Linked DNA regions of Cricetulus griseus. The protein of the gene in region 2 interacts with the protein of the main gene of each other region in a pairwise test. Links are inferred from orthologs where the notes say so. Each region holds a gene or a part of one and is shown on either strand. Other genes may lie near its edges.

Evidence for each region. The genes of interacting proteins can lie anywhere in the genome.
Region 1: the proteins of Mrpl11 (region 2) and calcium/calmodulin-dependent protein kinase type II subunit delta interact in binary tests that used the Homo sapiens proteins (3 or more experiments, as listed by UniProt). The two-hybrid records come from large-scale screens. The link is inferred for Cricetulus griseus from reciprocal best matches to the Homo sapiens genes MRPL11 and CAMK2D.
Region 3: the proteins of Mrpl11 (region 2) and Fsd2 interact in binary tests that used the Homo sapiens proteins (3 or more experiments, as listed by UniProt). The two-hybrid records come from large-scale screens. The link is inferred for Cricetulus griseus from reciprocal best matches to the Homo sapiens genes MRPL11 and FSD2.
Region 4: the proteins of Mrpl11 (region 2) and Tax1bp1 interact in binary tests that used the Homo sapiens proteins (3 or more experiments, as listed by UniProt). The two-hybrid records come from large-scale screens. The link is inferred for Cricetulus griseus from reciprocal best matches to the Homo sapiens genes MRPL11 and TAX1BP1.

What each region holds. Positions count from the first base shown.
Region 1 is NW_023276806.1:32,179,818-32,185,873, forward strand, and holds the start of calcium/calmodulin-dependent protein kinase type II subunit delta, read right to left. Parts: upstream 4,074-6,056; 5' UTR 3,925-4,073; coding exon 3,860-3,924; intron 2,282-3,859; coding exon 2,187-2,281; intron 1-2,186. UniProt on the Homo sapiens protein: Calcium/calmodulin-dependent protein kinase involved in the regulation of Ca(2+) homeostatis and excitation-contraction coupling (ECC) in heart by targeting ion channels, transporters and accessory proteins involved in Ca(2+) influx into the myocyte, Ca(2+) release from the sarcoplasmic reticulum (SR), SR Ca(2+) uptake and Na(+) and K(+) channel transport.
Region 2 is NC_048596.1:54,325,959-54,332,028, forward strand, and holds Mrpl11 (39S ribosomal protein L11, mitochondrial), read right to left. Parts: upstream 3,479-6,070; 5' UTR 3,389-3,478; coding exon 3,266-3,388; intron 2,942-3,265; coding exon 2,846-2,941; intron 2,348-2,845; coding exon 2,254-2,347; intron 2,171-2,253; coding exon 2,011-2,170; intron 619-2,010; coding exon 513-618; 3' UTR 326-512; downstream 1-325.
Region 3 is NC_048596.1:115,970,127-115,976,160, forward strand, and holds the start of Fsd2 (fibronectin type III and SPRY domain-containing protein 2), read left to right. Parts: upstream 1-1,961; coding exon 1,962-2,594; intron 2,595-2,912; coding exon 2,913-3,008; intron 3,009-6,034.
Region 4 is NC_048601.1:88,622,569-88,628,649, forward strand, and holds the start of Tax1bp1 (tax1-binding protein 1), read right to left. Parts: upstream 4,074-6,081; 5' UTR 3,940-4,073; intron 3,504-3,939; exon of another isoform or gene 3,352-3,503; intron 1-3,351.

The DNA.
Region 1 (6,056 bases), on a different chromosome or scaffold from region 2:
CCATCCACAACCTTGACATATCTGGCCCAATAGAGGAGGTGATTAATCTGCTGACTGATGGAGGCAGGTTGTTGTGTTTCTGTGAGTGTATCCTAATATATCCAGTGCTTGTGGATTTGCCTACAAAGGAGCTCCATCTCACCCCATTTTGCAGAAGGAAAGACTGAGATTCAGATTAAAATGAATAAACTGCCTAAGATCACAGGGCTAGCAGCTACAGGAATCAGGACTGAAGCCCAGAGTCTATCATTCCAGGACAGATGATGTTCTTGGGGGGGGGATAAATAAAACAAAAACTCAGAGGAAGAGGTTGGAGATGGCTCAGCAGATAAAGGATCTTCTGCTCCTGCAGGGACCAAGAGATTTGTTCCTGCTACATATGACTGAGGGTTCACAACTATGGAGACCAGATGTCTCTGGCCTCCAGGGCACCTACACTCACATGTATAACACACACACACACACACACACACACACACACACACACACACACACGTATATAAAACTGAAAATAATGAAAACTGAATAACTAAAAAGTAGCAAAGGAAGAGAACACCTTCTGAGTCAGGAAGGAGATGTGTAGAGAGAAGCTCATGGAGAGCAGATGGGGGGCTCTACAGAGAAGAGAGTGCAGGAGCCAATCAGGGGCACTTTTCTCCCAGGGAGGAGAAGGGAGTGAGTGAGACTGATTCTCTGCCAGGGCGATATAAGGAGTATGAGCGAAGAGCCTAAAAATTATTGACTCTAATTAATAAAGCTAGTAAAAGTGACTACCAGTCTCTGTTGTTCTGAGGGGAAATTTAAAGTCACTAAAAAGCTTGGAATAGGCATGGTAACACCGCCCCCCCCCCCCAAATTGATAGCCCACCACTGCCAAAGTGTGTATCACACCAGAAGAAATAACGCAATGCCTGGAAAAAGTCTGTTTTTCAGCCTTCTTCTTTCCCTTAACCTGGCATTCATACCTCTACACTGCCTTGTCATTCTTACAACACCTTCCAGTGGAGTGGAGACTGGCAGGGGAAATGTAATTAGCATAGCTCGCTCTTCATTAGTTTTCATACCAGGACTCCATGGTGCTAGCACATAGCTCTTTCTCAGAACTATAGCAAACCAGATGAAGAAAATTGCAACCGAACTCCATTCAAGTGAGTCAATATCCTGAAACCTACAGCACATCTTAAAAGTAGCATTTGCAAATCCCTTTACCACAGCAAAGGACAAAAGCAATGATATCCAGACATCCTTAAGTGGCATGTCTTAAAAGATATATTCAGTGAGGAAAAACTAACTCTAATGGAATTTCCTCTCATTACTTAAAATAAACCAGGTCACTGAGATGAGATGCTGTACGGTGTTTTGTTCATTTTGATTTCAGTTTAATTTCATCAAACCATAAATTCCCATGAAAATACCTTAGACACATGCCTGCAGCTACTGCAAAGCCCAGTGTTTCAGTAAATGTGCTTTTGCATAATTTTAAACAAAATATGATATAAAAAATGTGAGCACATGGCTCCAAGTTGCTTTTTAAAAAACTATGTCAACAGCTTTAATTATCAATTATCTCCATGGCTATAAACTGCAGGTGTAAATATAATGTATGCTCTGGTGGGAAATTTAATTCCAAGACCAAGTTAAAGGCCTAACCTACGTACATCAAAATTAAGCTAGCTTCCTAGATTACATCAGTGATCTTTTTTTTTTCTTCCCAAAGCCATTGAGGTTAAATATACCTTGATGTATTAAGTTCAGCTGTAACTACAACTACAATATACATTCAACTGAACCATGACCTGTTTTTCATCTCAAAAGTGAAAGGGAATTATGACAGTTATGAGACTTACATTTTTTTCCATTCTAGGATCCTTCTGAAAGTTATTTCACACTAGAGCTAACAGCAAAATGCACTTCATGACATTCATATGCTTTGCAAAGTATTTATTTATGTTACTGCTCATACGACAGCATTTTATGTTACCCATAACAATTATATATTTTTCATTTCCTATCAAAGTATACAGACCAAGGGACATTTGGCAAGGAAAAAATGTCAGTACATAATATGACTCCTAAGTTTAAAATTCAGTTATAACTGCATGCTACATTTACTTACAAGACAACACCAATCTACACAACAAATACAAAATTAACATATATAAATAAATGTGGTTTAAAATACCCACCCCTAGCAGAAAGCTTTTTGGTGTTGATAATTTTGGCAGCATACTCTTGTCCAGTAGGGATTTTCATACATCTTCTCACCACTGAGAATGCCCCCCTGGAAACCAATAATTAGCAAGTCAGCAGTATAATCAGACCTAGTATCCACTTAGAAACTTACAAACCTGAGCATATGTACGTGTCTTTAGCGATCTGTCAAATATCAATATAATATAAGCATTTTCTAGAAAATGAACAATTCTTCCTGGCAAACCCAGATCCCTTTTAAATGTTGAGGAGTAAAACTAAATTTTAATTGACTGGAAACACACATTATTAACCAACAAAATAAAAGGAAATGCCAATTATGACCACTCTTGTTTGCACATGAAATTTGAAAACATTTCATAATTCACACTCACAAAACACCAAATGCTCATAGCAAACCCTGCAAAGAGCAGAGCCGAGGAACAGGGGGAAAATAAAATAATCTCCTGCCTGCTTATTTCGATAGGAAGAATAATTAACGTGGCTCCAAGTAAGTAAATATGGCGATTGTTTCCATTAAAACATAAATCTGGGGCTCACTGGTGTGCTTTACCAGCTCCTGGGGTAAGGTGATTTCTCTGCCTGGTTTGGGCTGGGGGAGGGGAGAGATTTGAATTAAGCTGCTCTTCCGACAAGTCTCCATGTTTCAAACAGCAGATCATCTATAAAGATATCATTTTCATTCCATTTAAAATGCTTACACTTCCTTTTATGCAGCTGTACGAACCTACAGCACACACACAAATGCATCTTTTCCCTAATAGTGAAAATCGGCAATAGAGGAACTGGTTTGGGGTTGCATGTTTGGTAAATCGGCATTCCCGGCTGGGTCTCTCTGGTCGCCCCTGGACAGATCTTCTGTAGGTACCCTGTCCCTCCTTAACATCTACAAGAAGTTCTGGCACTTAAGTGGAGGAGGTCATTTGACACACAACCACAAGGCTAGGCTACCCTTGGGAAGTGCTTTCCTGAGCTCCAGAGGGCTTTTCCGCTGCCTGGATAAATAAATCTTCTCAGAAAAGATATAGTCGTACTTAAAGCCTGTGAGAATGATGGTGAGCAAAGGATAGCGGATATGGGGCAAGGGAGTGGGTTCTGTTGGGTGGCCCTTTTCCTGGACAGAACAGCTACTTGGATGCCGAACCAGACTCTCCACCAAGCCAAGTAGAACTTTCGGCATCGATAAATATGGCACCGTCTCTAAGAGCCAGTGCTCATCAGCTCATCGGAACCTGGGTCAGACGGCAGACACACCGACCGCAGGCTGAGCAGGAGACATCTATATACCGTAAATGTGATAAATGTTGCATTTTGCATGCATCTCCTTTCCTCTCGGCACACACACACACACACACACACACACACACACACACACACACACACACTCGCGTGCGCGCACACTTCTCAGGATGACAGCTACAACTGCAGAGATCGTAAATTCACCAAGTCTCCCGTGGAGAGGCGGAAGACCCCGAAAAGGAGGACTGGGGGTTCGAGACACCCGTCACAGAGGGGCAGGGGTTTCCTCCCCTCTGTGCTCCACCCGCACCAAGCCAGGGGTCCGTCACCCCGCCTCGGCCTCCGGGCTCCCTCTCCCCACGAGGGAGACAGGGGTTCGCGGGAGGAGATGCCAGGCAGGGACGCTTACTTTCCGAGCTCCTCGAAGAGCTGATACTCGTCGGTGAACCGGGTGCAGGTGGTCGTCGAAGCCATGGCGGGGTCTGGACAGTGCGCCGCTGGGAGCGCGACGGGCGGGCGACACGCGAACAGACGCGGCTTCCCGGGACTGGCGGCGCCGCGCTGTCACCCGGGGGCCGCCCTCACTTTCCTCGTCCGAAAGTAGCTCGCCCGCGAGGGAGTGCGCGCAGGGGCGGGGCGGGGCGCGGGGCGCGGTGGACAGACCAGCCCGCTCCGCGATCCCTCCTCCTTCTCCTCCTCCTCCTCCCACTGCGGCCACGGGGCAGAGCGCTCCCAGAAGGGGTCGGGGGACCGGCAGGAGGGGTGGCTGGTGACACCGAGGCCGCAGAGCGAGCTCAGCGCAGAGCCCGGGGCGGCGGCAGGCGCCCGAGAGTCCACAGCCGGCCGGCTGCTCCTGCAGGCGGAGGCGGCGCTGGTGGCCCGCGCTCCCCACGGGGCCCCGAGGCTGGGAACCCGCGCGGAGACAGAGTGCGCTCGGCTCGGGCGAAGCTGGCCGCTGCAGCTCCTCCCTCCCCGGCGCCTCCTCCTGCCTCTCCCCGCCCTGCGAAGCCCCCTCCTCGCCGGCCCGACACCTCCCTCTAGCGACTCCAGCCGCGTCCCTCCGGGCTGCTCTCCCGCAGCCGTCTAAGGAGACCCGAGGGAGGTGATGTGCGGAGGCAGCGGGGAGCGCACTTAGGGGACGGGCACCGGGATGGCGCAGTGACCCACGAGGGGTCGGGAAGATGAGGGACGACTCGCAGCTCGCACACTGGGGACGTCTCTAGGCCGGCCACTCGGCCACGGTGCCAGGGAAGCCCGAGAGGGATGCAGCCTCTGCTTCTGGGCGCGGTTCTTTACTGCTCCCCGACCCGGGTCGCACGTCTCGGAGCCGGCTCGCAGTGACGGCCGGGGGCTGCCAGCCCAGGCCACCTCTGCCCTGCCCCGCTGTCCCTCAGCTAGGAGTGAGGACAGCCCGAGCGCCACGTTTCATTACAGGTTTTACTGTCACCTCTTTACCTTCCTCTCCCTTTGTTTTCCTGACTAGGGCAATCCCCATAAGCCTTTGCATGGCCATAAATCCTAACATAATGAAAGCAAAAAGTCCAGCACTCTGCCACACCTTCCTTCCTCTCCTGAGTAAATCCCCTGTAACCTCAGCAAGTTCTGATAGTAAGAAGAGTTCTCGCGAGATGTCCCACTCTGGTGGCGAGGGGGTGGGGCAGTAGGACCGTTGGCTGCGGGTCACGCGACCCAGTGGGGGCTGACGTCATTAGCATCACGTGCGTGTGTCGAGCCTGTTTCGCTTTGAGAAGGGAGAAGGGACAAGGAGAGGGAGATCGTGAGTTTTTTGCTGGCATTCTCAAAGAACAGGCCAGGTAGGGGCACAGGAACGCACTCCATCAGTGGCTATCTGCAAAACCACTGAAGAGTTCAAGAATGTGCCTGCTCTTGAGTCCACTGTTGCTTAATAGTTAGAGTGGAGAAAAAATTAGCATGTAAGATAGGTAAGTTGTCACTGGTTGCTAAGATCCTCTCCAGTTCTGAATCTTTAATAAACGTGGCAATTGCAGATTTAGAGGCCGACGGGAAACAGAAGCATCATGAACGTTTTTTGTTTTTGCTCCTCTTGTTCTACAAAATACCATAAAATCCTGCATTCCTATTGCTAATTTGCTCATGCCTAGAATTACATCATGCACTCAAAATTTCACAGCAGAAAGGTGATAGGTAACTTTCAGTTATGGAGATTGTATAGGCTTTCTGAGAGGGTTCTTGCTCACTGTCAGGAATGTTCTTAATTCTTTTATTTCCTGTTAAAGAATGCTATTAGCTTATGAGTGGCCTTTGAACTCAAGTACTCGAGCTAGTCATAGAATTTTTAAATGCTTTTCTGGTGTACGTTTTGCAAATATTGCTCATACTTCTCTCCCACGCAACAACACAAGAAAACTTTTTTTTGTATTTAGTCATCATTCAATGTCTGCATTGTTCTGCCCATGAAAATGTCATTTACTGGCCTGTTTGACTATAATTTTCCCCTCAATTTTACTTGTATCTTTTGCTGTCCTTGCCATGCATTAGACTCCTAATGCGGATTTTTGACAAGGCCAAGCATATGGGACCTGTACATGTCCCTTCTTTTCTTGTCTGTTTCATATCTGGAGACC
Region 2 (6,070 bases):
GTGAGGTCTAGTGGAAGGTGCTGAGGAATCCCACCTTTCTTATTGTTGGCTTTAAGGAAGAAACTGTTTCAAGTGAGGTTACCTCTCATAGACAGCCCTATGCATGTGACTATTTCCACTAAACCATGCTGTGACACAGCCAAGAGAGCCCTTGCCAGACACCAGCACCATGAATGAGAAGCCAAATAGATATTTTTTCTTTATAAAGTACCAAGCTTTGGTAATCTGCTTGGCTGAGCCTATGCTCACTTGTGGGGCAATGCATACCTGTGAAGGTTGATGACTGTCAGTATTAGTCCCCATCTCTGAGTTCTCAAGAGGGAAATTGAGAGTGGGTAACAAAGGATGTTTATTCCAGCGTGACCCATTAGCACAGCCATATGTATGGAAATATACATAAGAAGTCAGGAAACTATAAATCATGAAGTCCTTTCCTCTCCTTTGGTTCAGCTTTCTCGGTAGGCTCTCTTCTCGGCTCTTCTTTCAAAATTCCAGAGTGTGGAAGGCTGGGATCACTTCTTGGCAGCTGCTGCCTGGGCTGCCAAATCTGCCTCTTTCTGTGCAGCCAAAACCACGGCTCGTTCCTTCTGGAAAGCTGCCAGTTCTTCTGCACTGAGGCTGCAGGTGGACAAAGATGGTTAGTGAGTGGCGGGTCCTAGCACAGACCCCAGCTGCCCTTCCCCTCTCTGGACTCCCAACTCCCATATCTCTGCTCAGGTTTCCTCTACCTGGATCCATACAGTGAGATATCGGAGACAACCACATACTCCACCTTCCCATAGCTTTGATTCCCATCTTAAGGGCCTACTTAACCAGTGGCCTCTACTCTACTACTGGGATTTACTAGACCTTCCTTTGAGCCACAAACACTTCACATGAGGGAGTCATAGGCTTGTATGTAGACACTCCCCTCTATGCCCCACAAAGTAAGGACCTGAAGAAACATCAAGGCCACCTGTGCTCTACACTGCCTCCCTGAGGATCAGCCAATACCAGCCTTGCTGTGGAGTATAACATCTGCAGCGAAGAGGCCTGTGATGACCGTCCCTGTTCCAGTCTCTGACATGGTCTGGGTCAAATGCTCTCCCACTTACAATTTACTTCAAGTAAACAATTCCTGAGATCATCCAAAGCCAGCTGACTGGGACAGCTGTTGGCCTTAGGATGGAGTCTGAATGTGAGACAGCTCAAAAGATCCTCCCCGACTGCTCCCTGCTTCAGATCATGCCCCACTCGGCCTCTAGACAAGACTCCTGTAGCTTCAGCCCCTTACCTCTCATTATTCACTGCAATTTTCCCACTTTTTGGAACATTGCTCCTTTACCCTCCTTTTCCTGGGCTGTTTTGATGTCATCTCCTTCAAAGAGTCCTCACTGACACACCAGGTAAAAGCAGGAACTCTCCTCTCTGCTTTCATGACATCCACTGATTTTTTAAACAACACTGACCAAATGCCAGTTTAATTCTCTATGTATGGATCTGCCTCTACCTTAGGACTATACATTTTTCCAGAGTGGCCAAATACTACTGCTCATTTCTGGTTATATCCAATGTGCTGAACCATGTCTAGCACATAACAGGGGCTTATGAAGCATATTCCAAATGAACAGAAGAGGCTTTCACCCATATCCTTCTGCTAGAATCTCAGGTCCTTCGACTTAAAAACTCTACATGTAGCCGGGCAGTGGTGGCACATGCCTTTAACCCCAGCACTTGGAGGCAGAGGCAGGTAGATCTCTGAGTTCGAGGCCAGCCTGGTCCAGAGAGCCAGTTCTTGGACAGCTAGGGACACACAGAGAAACCCTGTCTCAAAAAAACAAACAAACAAAACAAAACCCAAACAAAAAAACAAAAACTCTACATGTATAAAAATATCATAATGAAAGCTATCATGTATAACTAATACATGCTATAAAATTTTTTTAAACCTGACTATTTCACTATAATGGGCCCTCTCACTTTACTCCCAAATAGGAGCTTCCTTTCCACAGCACCGTTCAGGATACTCACTCTTTCACCACACGAATGCCCAGGGAACGGGCAGAGCCAATGATGGAACGGACAACAGAAGACAGGGGCACATCTTGCAGGGCGAAAGCATCATCCTTAGCTTTGACACAGGCAATCTCATATATGTGCTTCAAACTCACCAGGCCTGCTACCTCTTTCCCTGGGAAGAAGGAACAAGCTCCAGTTGTCACTACTTTTTTTTCTGGACACATCAGAATCTCAGGCACCCACTCTAGTCCTTACCTGTTTGTCGGGCCCCCTTCTCAATCCCAGCTGCTGCCTTCAAGAAGTAGGAAATAGTGGGTTGCCCAATCTTAAGCTCAAATGTCCTGTCAGGCTTGATAGAAAGAAAGATATTGAGAATTTCTTGGTTTTCTATTCAGGTTCAGGGAATTTGTAATGTCCCTTTTCTTCTCAAATCAACTTGCCTTCCTGTGGTGTCTTTAACACCACAAAACCATAGCACACATCTATGAAATGAAAGATATGAGCCAAAATATAGTAGGACTGGGCTGGAGAGATGGCTCAGAGGTTAAGAGCACTGACTGCTCTTCCAGGGGTCCTGAGTTCAATTCCCAGCAACCACATGGTGGCTCACAACCATCCGTTATGAGATCTGGTGTGCAGATATACATGGAAGCAGAATGTTGTATACATAATAAATAAAATCTTTAAAAAAATATGGTAGGACTAAGACGGTTCAGAGAAATTATGGTTGAGGTTTCACTGTGTAGATGAGGAAAGTGGAGAGTGACAACCAGGTTAGGGACAGAGAAGCAACCCCGGGCGACTAGTTTTAAGCGCCAAAGAAGACTACAGAACAATGAGACTGCACCTTCACAAAAATCTTTGTAGGCAGGGGAATGCCTTCTTTGATGTCCTTTGTCTTCTCGTTGAACTCTTTGCAGAACTGGTTGATAGAGACGCCTCGCTATGAGGAAAGCATAAAGTTAAGTGTAGGAGTTAAAGGGTTTCTACCACCCAGGAGCCCGTCCCTTCCCTCCTTCGTCTTCATTTCCCGTGTTCCTATATTTCTTCTATCCGGATTCAATTACAGCTTCGTGTCTGGACGATTCGTCCACAAGGTCCCACTTAATCAGCAACTAGCCAACTGGGAAGGGTCAGAGAAACTGAGGTCAACAGAGGCTACGTAAGCAACACAAAGACACAAGGCGTGCGGGTGCGAAGAGCCGCGACTTCCCATCTATCCGCTACCGCCTTCCGTGTCCCCCGGGCCCGGTTCCAGACACTACACCTGCCCCAAGATGGGACCTAGTGGGGGCCCAGGCATAGCTTGGCCTGCTCGCACGATAGCCCGGACCACGCCACCAGCCTCCGGCTTCCTGAGGGCCCGAGAGACTCGGCTTAGCTTCGACATGATGCGGGATTTTCAGTCTTAGTTCGCCTTGGAGCAGCAAGAGCTACGCTCTGGGCGCTGCCATTTTGGGTCAGAGGTCACGGGTCCTCACGTTAGGCTAGGGTGAGGCCAGCAAAGAACAGCCTAGTTTCAGTCACACAACTCTCCAACCAAAGACGGGATAAGGAATCAAAAATATCTAAACTTTGCGCTATGAAGACAGGAAGAGAACCTGTACGGCTTCGGTCCACACAAACCCTCAGGAGTGCGCACAGGCACTAGATTAGACAGCCAAACAGGAGTGCGGGACCTTGATTCTCCGCACGGCATTGTGGGCTGTGTAGTTTCGGCGCCTTCTTCTGCGCCTGCTGTTAGCTGTGCTCTGGGTCGCCATCTGTCGGACACAGTATTATCTTAGTGTTTGAAATGGAGCAAGCAAGGGACTCCAAGTGGGAGTCCCTCGGGTCTTTTTGTTCCTCATGTAGTTTCACGTATGGAGTGGGAACAAACCGACAGACCGCTGCTCTTTCTGGCTAAGAACTTGAGCCATATCAGACAGAATTGGGTTCAGGTTAGAATGTCCTGTTTCATCCTCTGTACAACGGATGTTATAGATGCCTTTCGGAATTAATTGTGACAGCTCAATAGCACACTGCCTAGAACAACACTTGAACCCGGAAAGCAGTTACTGTTATTTGTACAAAGGAAAGGGATCAGCTTTTTGCAACCTTACCCCAATCAAACATGATTTCTTGGCAGCTCCTTGGGCATACTTTATTGCTCCCCTGACCTTCAGTTTTTTTATTAGAAGCAGATTTTACTGTATGTGTTTCAGCACTCTGCATCCTGCCCCAACTCTCCAGGGCTACTTGTCATTCGTTGCTTTCTAGTGAATGGCATTTGAAGCCTGGGGTTTTGAAGCCTTTGTTATCACTCCCTTGGGCAACCTTGTGTACCTATGCTCTTTGGTATAGCAACGGCCTTGGAAGACTCTGACTGACTCTCCTTGAGCACATCTAGCTATGAAGCTCCACGAATTGTAGGCTTAAGTTTTTATTTTCCACAATAGTCCAGAGTGTAAAGTTCTGCATAAGCTGATGCCCAGCCCCCAGACTGAGACTACTTTGAAGTAACTATCCACTAAATCCGTGTTTGAGATCCTTCAGATTCCAGGAGGATTCTTTGGTTCTTTTTACAATTTCTCTCAGGCCAAAAGGCAGCTTATTGTATAGCATATACCTCCAGACCCTATCAGCTTGCCCTGAACGGCCTCTCACAACCCTCCACTGTTTTTCCTTCTTTTTCCATTTCCTTGTGTGTGCAGTGTGGGTGTGGGTGAGTAGGTGTGCTTGCAAACGTGTGCATGTGCATGTGGAGGGCTGATGTTGATCCTCTTCCATTGCTCTTCTGCCCTAACACTGAGGCAGTGTCTCTTACGCAACCCAGAGCTTGCAGGTATGGTCCGTCTTGTTAGCCAGCTTGCTCTGGGGTTCCTCTGTTAGGCTGGAATTACAGGTAGATCACCATGCCCAGCTGGTATTGACGTGGGTTTGTTGAGATCCAACCTCTGGCCCTCACTCTTGTCTTGTGCAGGGAACACTTTGATAGCACACACACACACACACACACACACACACACACACACACACACACACTATTTTTTGAAATTGCCCTTAGACTTGAATCTACAAAACCTGCTGCAAATAAAGTCAGGTCCTTTCTGTAGTGACCCAGAAGCCTTTCTTTTATCACCATCTTCTGTGCTCAATGGAATCCCTGAGCCAGGCAGTGGTGTTGGCAGGAACAATGGTGTGTCTCCTTGAGAGACACCCCCACCACAGGAGCTGAGTGCTTAGTAGAAAAGGGGCCCAACAGCTTCCGGTCCCCTCAGTTTCCCTCACATCCTCCCCTCAGCATAACTCTGCAAGCTGGGGCAAGAGCAACCAGTACTCTGGGATTTTCTGTGGTGTTATACCAAAGTGGAGTGTCCATCTCACCAGCAGAGCCCTGGTGAAAGAAGGCAGACCCCATGATGAATGACTTTCTTTTTCTGTCCTTGGTTGTTCTTTTTGTTTGTTTGTTTGACTGACTGATTTTCAAGACAGGGTTCCTCTGTGTAGCCCTGGCTGTCCTGGGAACTGGCTTTGCAGACCAGGCTGGCCTTGAACTCAGATCCACCTGCCTCTGCTTCCTGAGGGCTGAGATTAAAGGAGTGCACTTCCACACCTGTCAACTTTTTTAGTAAGGCATAAAAATAAATGTCTATTAACTACATGTAGATTAGGAACCAATGCATCAAGGAAAGATTCTGTCAAGTTTACCTTCAGAATTCATGAGTTTATTGGAGTTACTTAACAGGAGTGTGGGTGTCACATGACACCACTGAAAAGTCCCACCAGTCAATCCCCCCCCCCCCGTGGTGAATGGTAAATGGCCCCATTCATCATGTGGGTGTGTGCATATATTTGTGTAGCTGCTCCTGCACCCATGTGCATGTTAGTTAGAGGTCACAAGTTGATACTGGATGTCTTACTGGATCATACTTCACTTTACCTTATTTTTGAGACAGAACCTCTCACGGACCTGGAGCTTATCAATTTAGCTAGCGTGGCTGGCCACTGGCTTCAGGTATCCCTCTGTCTCTGTTGTACTGCCAGGACTGGGGTTACAGAGGTAAACTGCTCTACCGAGTGATTTTACATT
Region 3 (6,034 bases), about 62 Mb from region 2:
GGCATGTTCTATGTTAGAAATGTCATTTGTTGATCATCTATGCATTTTCTTCAAAAAATATGGGAACTAATTTCTTTTTTTCTTTTCTTTTCTTTCTTTCTTTCTTTTTTTTTTTTTTTTTTTTTTTTTTTTTTTTTTTTTTTTTTTTTTTTTTTTTTTGGTTTTTCGAGACAGGGTTTCTCTGTTTCTCTGTGTAGCTTTGGAGCCTATCCTGACACTCGCTCTGGATACCAGGCTGGCCTCAAACTCACAGACATCTGGCTGCCTCTGCCTCCCGAGTGCTGGGATTAAAGGCGTGCACCACCAACACCCGGCTCTTATTTTTCTTATAATCACAAATCTCTAAATAGTAAAATGATTTTTCTACTGAATCAAGTTACCAACATAATTTTTAGTTGAATATAAGAGAGCAGTTTGTAGACATTACAATTTTGGTAAATAACTTAAAAATAAAATGGAAATGGATGTGTGGGGTGGGTATATGTGTGTGTTTATATGAGCAAGTGCATGTATGTGCATGTGTGTGTAAGGCCACATTCTAATGTCAGCTCCCTTCATTGATGGCTTTTCCCCTTATTCTTTGAGGCAGAGACTGTCACTGAACCTGGAGCTCATCAGTCGGGTTAGGCTAGCTGATCAAAGAGCTCCAGGTACCTGCCTGTCTCTGTCCCTCACCCATCTCCCAGTGCTGGATTAAAGAGGCATATTTTAATGATCTGAACTCCAGTCCCTGTGCTTGTGTGGCAGACACTTGACTGACTGGGCTACCTCTCCAGCCCCCAAATGCATCTTTTAATAAAGTGAATGGGACTTTTTGTTTGTTTTTTAAAAATTCATACCCAAGTATGAAAATATCACATTCTAGAAATGCAACATGAATGAGATTTTGTATTTTTTTTTTAAATTTTGTCCATGCAAACACAGAGTGACCATGCTCACCTACATAAGTAGGTGGGAAGGGAAGCAATTTATAACAATGCCAGTCCGTTCTGACAGTTCTTCCTGAAATACATGCCAAAATTGCATAATGACCTATCATGAACATTTATTTTAAATAGTGTGTCAGCTGACAACTTGATTAAATCCTCCTGCAATTTTGTGGGAAGCAAAGAGCTGGAAAGCACTTACCTTGAAAAAATTTTTTCTTACCCATTCATTAATGTCACTCACTGTCAGCATCGATACCTATACTTCAGATTGTCCTTTTGTCTAGTCTCCTGGAGGTTTTATTAGAATCCCAAGCAATGAAATCTCACTGTGCAATGTAATAGTCAGAATGAACAGGAAGTATATTTTTGCTTTTATAATAAAGAAGAGAAGGACTGTTGAGAAAAGAACCTCACATGCTGGCTCATTCCCAGGCAAAGCAACCCAGAGAAATATTAAATACAAACCCAAGAATCTAAAAGCTGATAACTCTTAATAGTATCTGTGCCTGCATTCCCCATGGAAAGCCTCATACACATGCCATGGGGAAAAGACCAATATCATCAATCCCATCTTTTGAAAGAGCCTGAATATGAACAAAAGAGAGGCAGAGATGGTAGCAGGAGGGAAAGGTTAGTTTTAGGCTGGTATCATGCACACTATTATTCCACAGCTTGATTACCTAAAATAACCGATATTTATCATCTTACATATTTTGTGAGGGCTGAGGATTGAGACAAGGTCTTCCAGGTGACTCCACTTCAGGGTGGTACTCCCCAATGCACCTTTCTTCAACAGGGTCCCAATTCCCTCTGCTTGCTAGCCAGCCTGTGTCTCCGTGTGTTTTTCTTGATTGTTGAACAATTGTGAGTCACCTCCAGCCCAGACAGTTTGGTGAATTTGTTTGCCATGATGCAGGCTTCGACCATAACTTCTTTGATGAGATCTTAACCCATAGCCTTCTTGGGAACTGATGTTGATCTCTTCTTTGTCCTAGGATCCACTGACTGTCTGAGAAGGACTGTTCTGTATCAATGGAGCAGGAAGCAGGGGAAGAGCCGGGGCTGGGCAGGTCAACAGCCCCCAAAGACTTCCACTTTTATCACATGGACCTGTATGACTCTGAAGACAGGCTGCAGCTCTTCCCAGGAGAAAGCAGCAGAATCAGGAGAGAAGTAACCCAGGCTGAACAGACCAATGAGCCGAGAGGGACAGTGGACAGTAAGAATCTTCAGAAGGAAGTGGACGAGCTTGTCCATTTATATGGACTTGAAGATGACCATGAGTTAGGGGATGAGTTTGTTGATGAACACAGACTGGGGACTCTGGGGTATCCTTCTTATGGGATGAGGAGGAAAGACTCAGCCAGAGATCAGAGAGGCTGGGGGCTTAGCAGTGAGGCGGCTGAGGCTGAGGAGGACCTGGGCTATGGAGGGCAAGGCCTTCCTGGCCAGTGCCAAGACCTTCGGGAAGCCTACAGGTATACACATGGCCGTGCCAGTGAGGAGTATGAATGCTACGTCATCCCAGAGGAGGAAGATGAAGAAGAGCCTGCTGATGTCTTCTGTGTCACTTGCAAAACTCCAGTAAGAACTGTTGAGAAGGATTTTGAAATACACAAAGAACATGAAGTAACACCACTCAACAAAGCACTGGAAAGTGCCAAGGTAACAGGTCTCCTTCCATCTTTGTCTGGAGAGTATTTGTGAGTCTCAGGGAGGTGGGCAGGGAATACATCCTGAATGCCTCAACTAGGATGGGATGGGGGACTGGAGAGATAGCTCAGCCGTTAAGAGTATGGTAGCTCACAATCACCTGTAACTGTAGTCCCAGGGGATCTGATGCTATCTTCTGGCCTCTGTGGTCACCAGACACACATATGGTATACAGGCATACATGCAGGCAAATGTCCATACATATATTTTTTTAATTTAACAAAATTAAAACAAACATAGCATTAACACCTTGTTTGTTCTGTTCCACAGGATGAAATCCACAAAAACATGTTCAAATTGGAACAGCAGATCATTGAGATGGAAAATTTTGCTAGCCACCTGGAGGAGGTGTTCATTACAGTGGAGGTAAGAACATACTTGGTATTGGGGCTGGAGAGATGGCTCAGAAGTTAAGAGCACTGCTTGTTCTTCCAAAGGTCCTGAGTTCAATTCCCAGAAACCACATGGTGGCTCACAACCATCTGTAATGAGATCTGGTGCCCTCCTCTGACCTGCAGGCAACATGCAGGCAGAACACTGTACACATAATAAATAAATAAATAAATAAATAAATATTTTTTAAAAAAGAACCTACTTGGTGATTTCATCACACGTGTAGCTTCCATCCGTGGCCACAATAAGCAAATGGTATTTCTTTTCTTTTTTTGAGACGGGGTTTCTCTGTGGCTTTGGAGGCTGTCCTGGAACTCACTCTGTAGACCAGGCTAGCCTCGAACTCACAGAGATTCACCTGCCTCTGTCTCCCAAGTGCTGGGACTAAAGGCGTGTGCCACCAACACCCGGCCGCTATTTCTTTTCTTTTTCTTTCTTCTTTTTGTTTTGTTTTTCCAGACAGGGTTTCTCTGTGTTTCAGCTCCAGCTGTCCTGGAACTAGCTCTTGTAGACCAGGCTGGCCTCAAACTTACAGAGATCCCCCTGCCTCTACCTTCCGAGTCCTGGGATTAAAGGCATGTGCCTCAGACCTATTTCTTAGAATGTGAGGTGTCACCTGTCCCCTCCCTTCAGCTCTCCATAGATTTTACACACACACACACACACACACACACACACACACACACACACACACATACACACACACATACACACACACACCGGGTAGCTACAGAGGTGATGGTCACTTGTCTGCATCCCCTACTACATTTACTATGTCATCTAGGTGGGAGAGGCTGGTGTGTGTGTATCTCCAGGTCTGTTACACTGGATGTTTCAAAGCAAGTGTGTTTATACATGTTTATTATATGGATAAATAAAGCAGAAAATTTCCAATCAAAGTGCCAATTGCATGGGGTTTAGAATTTTTTTTTAATTCCAACAATGAAAACTATGGTAGCCCTATCCAGATGGTGAAATGAACAGTTTTCTTCTGTCCTTGAAGCTGGTGTGTGGTGGGGAACATATATGTGTGTTTGTGTGTACCTGTGTATACAAGTGTACATACACATGTATGCTCATGCATGTGAGGCTCAGAGGTCAAGTTTGGGTGTCTTCCTCAGCCACACTGTACCTTATTTTTTGAGACTGGGCCTATCACTGAAATTGGAGTTCTCTAATTTGGCTCACCTGGCTGGCCAGCAAGACCTGGAGATCCCCGTTTCCAGTCACCTCAGTGATGGGATTACATAGGATCACTACTGCACCTGGCTTTTTATATAGGTGCTGGAGATCCAAATCCAGGCCTTCATACTTGCTTGGCAAGCTCTTTGCCCCAACTGAACCACTTCCCTAAACCCCTGCCCCTGATGGGCTTTTTGTTTGTTTGGTTGTGTTTAGGTGGAAGTCCTACCTGCCTCTATATCTATTCAAAGAGGTTGGAATGTTTGGTAGCCTGTTTCAAACCCTGCCCTCAGGTTGCCAAGGGCAGGCCATCCCCTGGAGTCACCTAAGTCCAGACTCTACCCCTAAAAAACCTACCATTGGTGGCCCCACCCTGGAGGATGTTAAAATCCCAATCTCTGGATGCAGCTCCTAGTTCCTGGTTTTCTCTTCTCCTGGGGCCACCCAGGAATGCTTTGCTCAGATTAAACCTGGATTTATTTATTTGGTCTGATTGGTTTATTGTAACAGTGGTAGGAGGTTTCCAGTAACCTTTCCACTGACTGGGAATTTTAAACAAAACAGGTTGCTTTTGTCCTTTTCTTTCTCTTGGTCTCACCTTGAGATTTCCTTGGGTCCTATCTGATGTCCTGCTGTATAACCAGACATAACGGGTTTCATGCTGTTGCTTTGCTCTCTGGGGTTTTTACTTTGAGGTTTTTGGGATACTGTCAAGTATTAAATCAGGTGTGAATTGTCAAAGTTTCCTCCCCTTTGAAAATGTTCATTGTGCATATTCATTGTACACACTGTTACATCAGGACATTTTCACACATGTATATAATGTGTTGTAATTCCTCCAACTCCACTCCCCTCTTTCATCTTTCTTGTTCCTTTCCCCTTAATATTCTCTGCTACCTAGACACTTTAGTGGCATATGTACATACATGATCTTATGAATCTATGTAAGATTTAGGAGCCACAAATAAGAGAGAATGTATATTTGTCTTCTGAGACTAGCTTAATTCACTCATTTTGACGGACAGGTAGGTTATCTCCACTGGCATTCATTTTCCTGCAAACAGTTCCATCATGTATAAATACATGCTCTTTACCCATCCCTCTATTGATGGACACATAGCTTAGTTCCACAACTTAGCTTTTCTGAATAGCCTCAATAAGCATAGATGTGCAAGTGTGTGTGGCAGGCTGACTTGGACCAAAGTCATTTTAAAAAAGCAGCTCAAGAGAGAAAGATGCCATAGAGTTCAAGTGGAGGGGTTTTATTAGGATAAAGGGATCATAAAAATCATAAAAAGGGGAAAGGGAAGCGGGGAGACTGGTCTCTGGGGACAAGAGCAGCAGGAGACAGACAGACAGACAGACAGACAGACAGACAGACAGACAGAGGAAGAGAGAGAAAGAAAGAGAGGAGGCTGTCCTGGAACTCATGCTGTAGACCAGGCTGGTAGTCAGGGTTTTTTTTTTTTTTTTTTTTTTTTTTTTGGTTTTTCGAGACAGGGTTTCTGTGTGCCTATCCTGGCACTCGCTCTGGAGACCAGGCTGGCCTTGAACTCACAGAGATCCGCCTGCCTCTGTCTCCCGAGTGCTGGGATTAAAGGTGTGCGCCACCAATGCCCAGCCAGTCAGGACCTTTTTTAAAAGGGAAAGTAGTGAATGGGCACAGGTGATGCTCTTAGTGGCAGCAGCTGAGGGCATATTCTGTCAGAAGCCCAAGGACAGGCCAGTTGAAAACTAACAAGATACATTTTCAGTTTTTGAGGAACCTCCATACTAATTTCCATGGTGTCTGGACTAGTTTACATCACCAACAGAGG
Region 4 (6,081 bases), on a different chromosome or scaffold from region 2:
GACTCTACTTCCTTGTCTCTAAAGCACACCTAAGAAACAAGTACACTAAGCGAAAGAAGGTAATAAAGGTAAATAAAGGTAAATAAAAAACTCCCAGTCACTAACTAATTGAAGGGTCTGACATATATGTCTAGAAACCAATGCCTGAAATGCTACAGTGAACTTTTCCTACCACAGTCCCAAAGTTCTAATACCAACACAACTCCTTTATGTGTGTCAGGCTGTAAACTACACTCTATGACACTCTAAACCAGCCGGTCACAACTCCTTTGGATGTCAACTGACACTTTCACAGGGGTCACCTAGGACCATGAGAAAACATTTTCAGATATTACAGATATTTACAATTCATAACAGTGCCAAGATATCAGTTATGAAGTAGCAGCAAAAATAATTTTATGGTTTGGGCCACAACATGAGGAACTGTATTAAAGGGTTGCAGCATTATGGAGGTTGAGAATCATTACTCTATGCCATCTTTGCACTAAAACCCAATCTTATTATTTCTAGAATTCACTAATATCTAGAGGTAAATAAGAGACAGTAGGCATTCAGCTAAGCAAATAGCTAAAAGCATTTCATTATCATCTTTACTGTTCTTGGGCTTTTTTACAAGCCCCAAACAGAGCAGCCTTTTGTGGTAGTATTTCCTCCAGTGGCTCCATATGAAGTTAAACTTTGAAATTTTTTTTGTTTATTTTTCGAGACAGAGTTTCTCTATGTAGCTTTGGAGCCTATCCTGGCACTCTCTGTAGACCAGGATGGCTTTGAACTCTCAGAAATCTACCTGCCTCTGCCTCCAGAGTGCTGGGATTAAAGGTATGCATCACCAACTCCCGGCTTAAACCTGTTTTTTGTTTGTTTTTGTTTTTCAAGACAGGGTTTCTCTGTGGCTTTGGAGGCTATCCTGGAACTGACTCTTGTAGACCAGCCTGGCTTTGAACTCACAGAGATCTGTCTGCCTCTGCCTCCGGATTACTGGGATTAAAGGTGTGTACCACCACCGTCCTGCTAAACTTGGATTTTTAAAGTTTAGATAGTTCACCTACCCTATCAATTAAGCTTCCAAAAGAGCTGTGTGATACAATTAAAGTCTTTTTAAAAAATTATCAGTTAGCTACTAATTAAGAGTGAAAAGGCTTGATTTCTAGCATTTGATTTAAATGCTCCAGGAGTGGGGGATAATAAAATAACAGAAAAAAAATTCCAACTTCACTTCTCCTAGTCCTTTTATTAGTCAGAAATTTCAAGAATAAAGTCAATAAAAGCAAACTGGCAATAAAAAGCCCCGTGTCTGTGTGTCTTCAACAGAAAACACTGCATGAACACTTTGTACCCTTGCAAAGTACCATAATTAAGATAATGGTTGACAGCCAATGTTTTTAAAAATCTTCAGTTACAAAAATAGGACCTATTTCCAGCACTTGGGAAATAGAGGCAGGCAGATCTGAGTTTTAGGAGGCCTGGCCTACATAGTTAACTTCCAGACAGCCAAGGCTACATACATAGCAAGACCCTGTCTCAAAAATAACATACATACATACATACATACATACATACATACATACATACATCTTCATGGGGATAAAAATAGCCTGGTAGTTCCCTTACTCATTCTTCAGCTCCTTTGCCTAGTTTGTAGAATACCATACTCTCAGAAAGATGTTATCAGTCAACTTTCTAGGAGGCTGAAACAAAGACCTTGTTAATTTGCATTGCTGAAGACATCTTTATCTCCAGTGCTTTCACAGCTGAGTATTCCTACATTCTGCCCAGCTGCCACCCAGTTGTACTTGTTTTCTCTGTTGAGAAAGGCTCTATGTACTATAGTCCAGGCTGGCCTCAAGCATATGACACCCCGCCCACACACATACACATACACATACACACATACACACATACACACACACACACACACACACACACACACACACTCACACACACATCCAACTAAGCCTCCCAAGCGCTAGAATCCCAGGTGATAAAACATCAGGCCTGATTTAACTTTTCATAAATTCGTTTCTAAAATACTATGCTCTTGGCCCACAGGTATATAGAACAGGAAATTTGTAATTTTGAAGGCTCATTGAAAAGTGTAAACTTTAGAGTCATAAGTACATAAAGCCCAAATTTTAGATACTAACAGACATTCCAAAAGAAAACAATCTAATAAACCTTACAGGTGAGGCTGGGCTTGATGGCAAACACCTTCAATACCAACACTCAGAAGGCCAGTAGAGGCAGGCTGATCTGAGTTCAAGGCCAGCCTGGTCTACATGAAGAGTTCCTGGACAGCGAGGACTACACAGTGAGACCTTGGCAATATATAAGTCAAAATAAACTTTACAGATAATTCCTTACCTGTATAGTGCAAATGTATATAAATAAAAATGTATAGATAGGATCAAGCATAAAAACTTAGCATCCTAGGGGCTGGAGAGATGGCTCAGTAAAGAGCACTTTTTGCTCTTGCAGAGGACCCTGGTTCGGTGCCCAGCACCTACATGGTAGTTCACAACCATCCATCACTCTAGTCCAGGGGGATCTGACACCCTCTTCTGACTTGTGGCCACCAGGCATACACATGATGCACATATACAGATGCAGGCAAAACACTCATAAAATAAGCCTAAATAATTATTTTTAAACAGCACTCTTTAAAAATTGCAACTAATAATGCAAGGATGTTATTTTGTCCTAGAAAATGCATTCACTGGTTAAATTTCACATACATGGCTACAATCGTAAAAGCAAACAGTATGCAACTAATGTAACAATTTGAAAACGACTTTGTTTGAAATTTAACAGAGGATGGGCAGGGTGGGGGTAGTAGTTAACAAGTCATTTCCAGCATAGTCAAATATATTCTTGTAGAAATCATATAACTTATAAGTCCAAGGTGGTGCTGTTTGCCTGTAACCCTAACATTCGGGAAGGACACAGAGATCAGAATGGAGGCCAGCGCTTGGCCTCAGCCTCGTCTCCACACCTGGAGAGCACCTTAAAGCTCCTAAGCCCACAACCAGCCCACTTTAACAAATGTTATTCAAATAATCTTTTTCAAATGTTCTTGGGTTGAACCCTAAAAGATTAATTAGTATCTGTTCCTGTACTGATCACGAAATTTCACCGCTGGCGGGAAGCAGCGATGAAAACTTTTCCACCTAAGTTTCTAACACACTACTAACTTGCAGCTCTAGAGCCGGAAATGTATCGCAGTCAAATGCCACCGCGTTTTCCAACAAAACTCTTGAGGAACAAACTGTCCTTCGTATTTCTCAGTAGAGAAATACAGGCGTCCACGCCAGCTAAGTCCTAACAGCACAGACCTGCCCGGCACCACCTTCGTACCTGTCCAAACACAGGGCAGCGTCGCCCAGGGGTCGGGAGAGGGAGGCGGAGCCGTGAAAGCAGTCCAGACAGCCTAAGAGCGAAGTCACCCTGCCCAAGATTTCGTAAAGCCTTATCTGTGGGGAGGGCGGCTTTCCAAACCCCAAGACTTAATTAATCTCTTCGCCCAGGTGAAGCCAGAGATCAGGCCAAAACGCGTAAACACAGAACGAGGCGGAGCAGGGCGTCCCCGCCTCTTCCTCCAGAAGCCACTCAAACCAAAACAGTGCGTCCAGGCTCCGGCTGGGTCCTCCCCGGCTCGCCGCGGCCTGGCGTCGGCCACCCTGGGCGCTCCCCACCGGCCTCCTGCCCGGCAGACCCCGGTTCGCCGCGGCCTAGCTCGCCCGCCTCCGCCGCGCCTCCCCGTCTCCTGGCCACTCGGGCCCACGCACACGTCACAATCGCGGCCCGGGGAAACCTGTCCTTGGGAAGGAGCGCTCCGTCACCACGGAGACGGTACCAACACGCGCCAGGCCCAGGTTCCAGGGCCGAGACGGGGCGCGAGCGCCGGGCCCCCCGCCAGGCACGCGGCCCAGACGCAGGCCTCACCCGTCAGGGCCTCCGCCCGCCGCGCTCCGCCGCGCTCCGGAGCCCCGGAGCTCCGCCACCACGGACCGGCAACTCCGCCTCTGAGCCCCAAGCCGGCGTCGCGTCACTTCCGCCCTAGGAACGCCCGTTTCCGCCACCGTCTCTGCGCATGCTCCGTGACGACACGCCCTATTCGCCCGCTGCGGGGGGGGCGGAGGGGAGTTCTTGGTGGATTTCCTCCTGACAGCTTGCTTGTCTTCTGGGGCTTTCGCTCAGTGATGTAGTAGTTACCCCAAAACACAGGCCGCTTAAGACAAGTTAATTAACTTGCCGGCGAGGTGGGAAGGATCGCCCAGAGGCGACCTGGGTCTTAAATATCAGTTTGTGTCAATACATCTGTTTAAATGTCTAGAGAACCCCCAAGAACTATTGGAGAGACCAGGGGCTCAACCATCACGTTCCTGTGTTGCCATAAAACTGATGACACTTACAGCATCACCAGCGAAGAAGAGGTAACAGATTAAACATTACAGCAACAACACATAAAATCTGCCTTCATGTTCATTTTCCACATAATTCAAGTCCACTTGGCCTCCATGAGAAAGGGCCTTAATATTTGCTGACTCATTTGTTTCTTATGTATTGAAATCACTGACGGCAGGAATTTTACAGGGGCCTCTCCATGCTTGTCCTCCAAAAGGAAACAATCTGTTGAGACATAGGCAGTTGAAGCAAAAGTTATTTAGCAAAAGTATTCCAAAGGGAGAGAGCAGTACTTTGGGTTCAGCATTGTGGGTTTTAAAGAAGTATTTATGAATGCTGTGGGTACTGTATTCATGAGGTAAGGTAAATAATATTCCCACACAGGAACATTATGAATCCGGATAGAATACACTTGCTTATGTGGGGTTCCAATTGAAACTGAACATTTAACAGAGAAAGGTAATCTATGTAGGTCAAAGTAAATTTAGAAATTTAAATTTAAATTATTTTCGCTTCCACATCATGATTAACCAAGTCTTCTATTTCTTCCTATGCTGCTCTAGCAAAACCCACAAAGGAAATGGGTTAAAACCACAATGTTAATAATAGTATGAAACTGAGGTCTTTTGAGGCTTCCCACCCTGCATTTTAGTGCAACCATGGGAAAATGCCCTGGAGTAATTAGTACTTGTGTGTGTGTGTGTGTGTGTGTGAGAGAGAGAGAGAGAGAGAGAGAGAGAGAGAGAGAGAGAGAGAGGGAGGGAGGGAGGGAGGGAGGGAGGGAGGGAGGGAGGGAGAGAGAGAGGGAGAGCCCATTTGCAGCATCGAGACATTCATCCACAACTGGGCATTCTGTTGATCAGGAGACAGCTACCAAAATACAGGGACAGGGTTTTGTTTCTGTTTTTGTTACTTCATATGGAACCCCTTTTCAGATTACTCAAGGTCCCACGATTGATCTCATGATTGGCTGTGAGTTAAGACATTCTACTGCCCCAAGATAAAGACATTCTGTTATTTCTAAACTTATACTCTATGAGGAAAACTGGAAACAGGGATTTACGACATCAAGTTGTACAAGCAGGAACAGGCTATCTTTCAGGACCCCCTCTCCCAGTCCCACTATCATCTACCTAAACACCCTCACTCTTATGCTGTTTATTGTACTTGATCCTAGAATTTCAAGAGAAGTTTGTTGCATTAGTCTTAACTGCCTCATTTTACAATTGAAAAACATTGTGTAATCAGCTTCTGCTAAAATTCACTCCCAGGAAGGAGAAGTAAGCAATGACTACCCCTCCTTACAAGGTCCCAAAAGCAAATGGACAAACAGGCATGATTCCTCCAAAGTTCACTCTGAGCAAACTTTGAGTTTATTTTTGAGTCTAGGTGGCGGATTACCTGTGGATTTTGGGTGCTCCTCCCCCAAAGGCTGCACCTGGAAGTCTTTGCTCAGCTGGCATAATGGCTTTCCCCTAGTGGCACAGACAGAGCATCCAGCTTCCCCTAGTCTGCCTCATCCTAGATACTCTAGCCCAGTGTTCTCAGCCTGTGGGTTGTGACCCCTCTGGGGGTCACATATCAGATACCCTGCATATCTGATGTTTACATTATGGTTCATAACAGTAGCAAAATTACAATTATGAAGTAGCAAAAAAATAATTTAATGGTTGGGGTGGT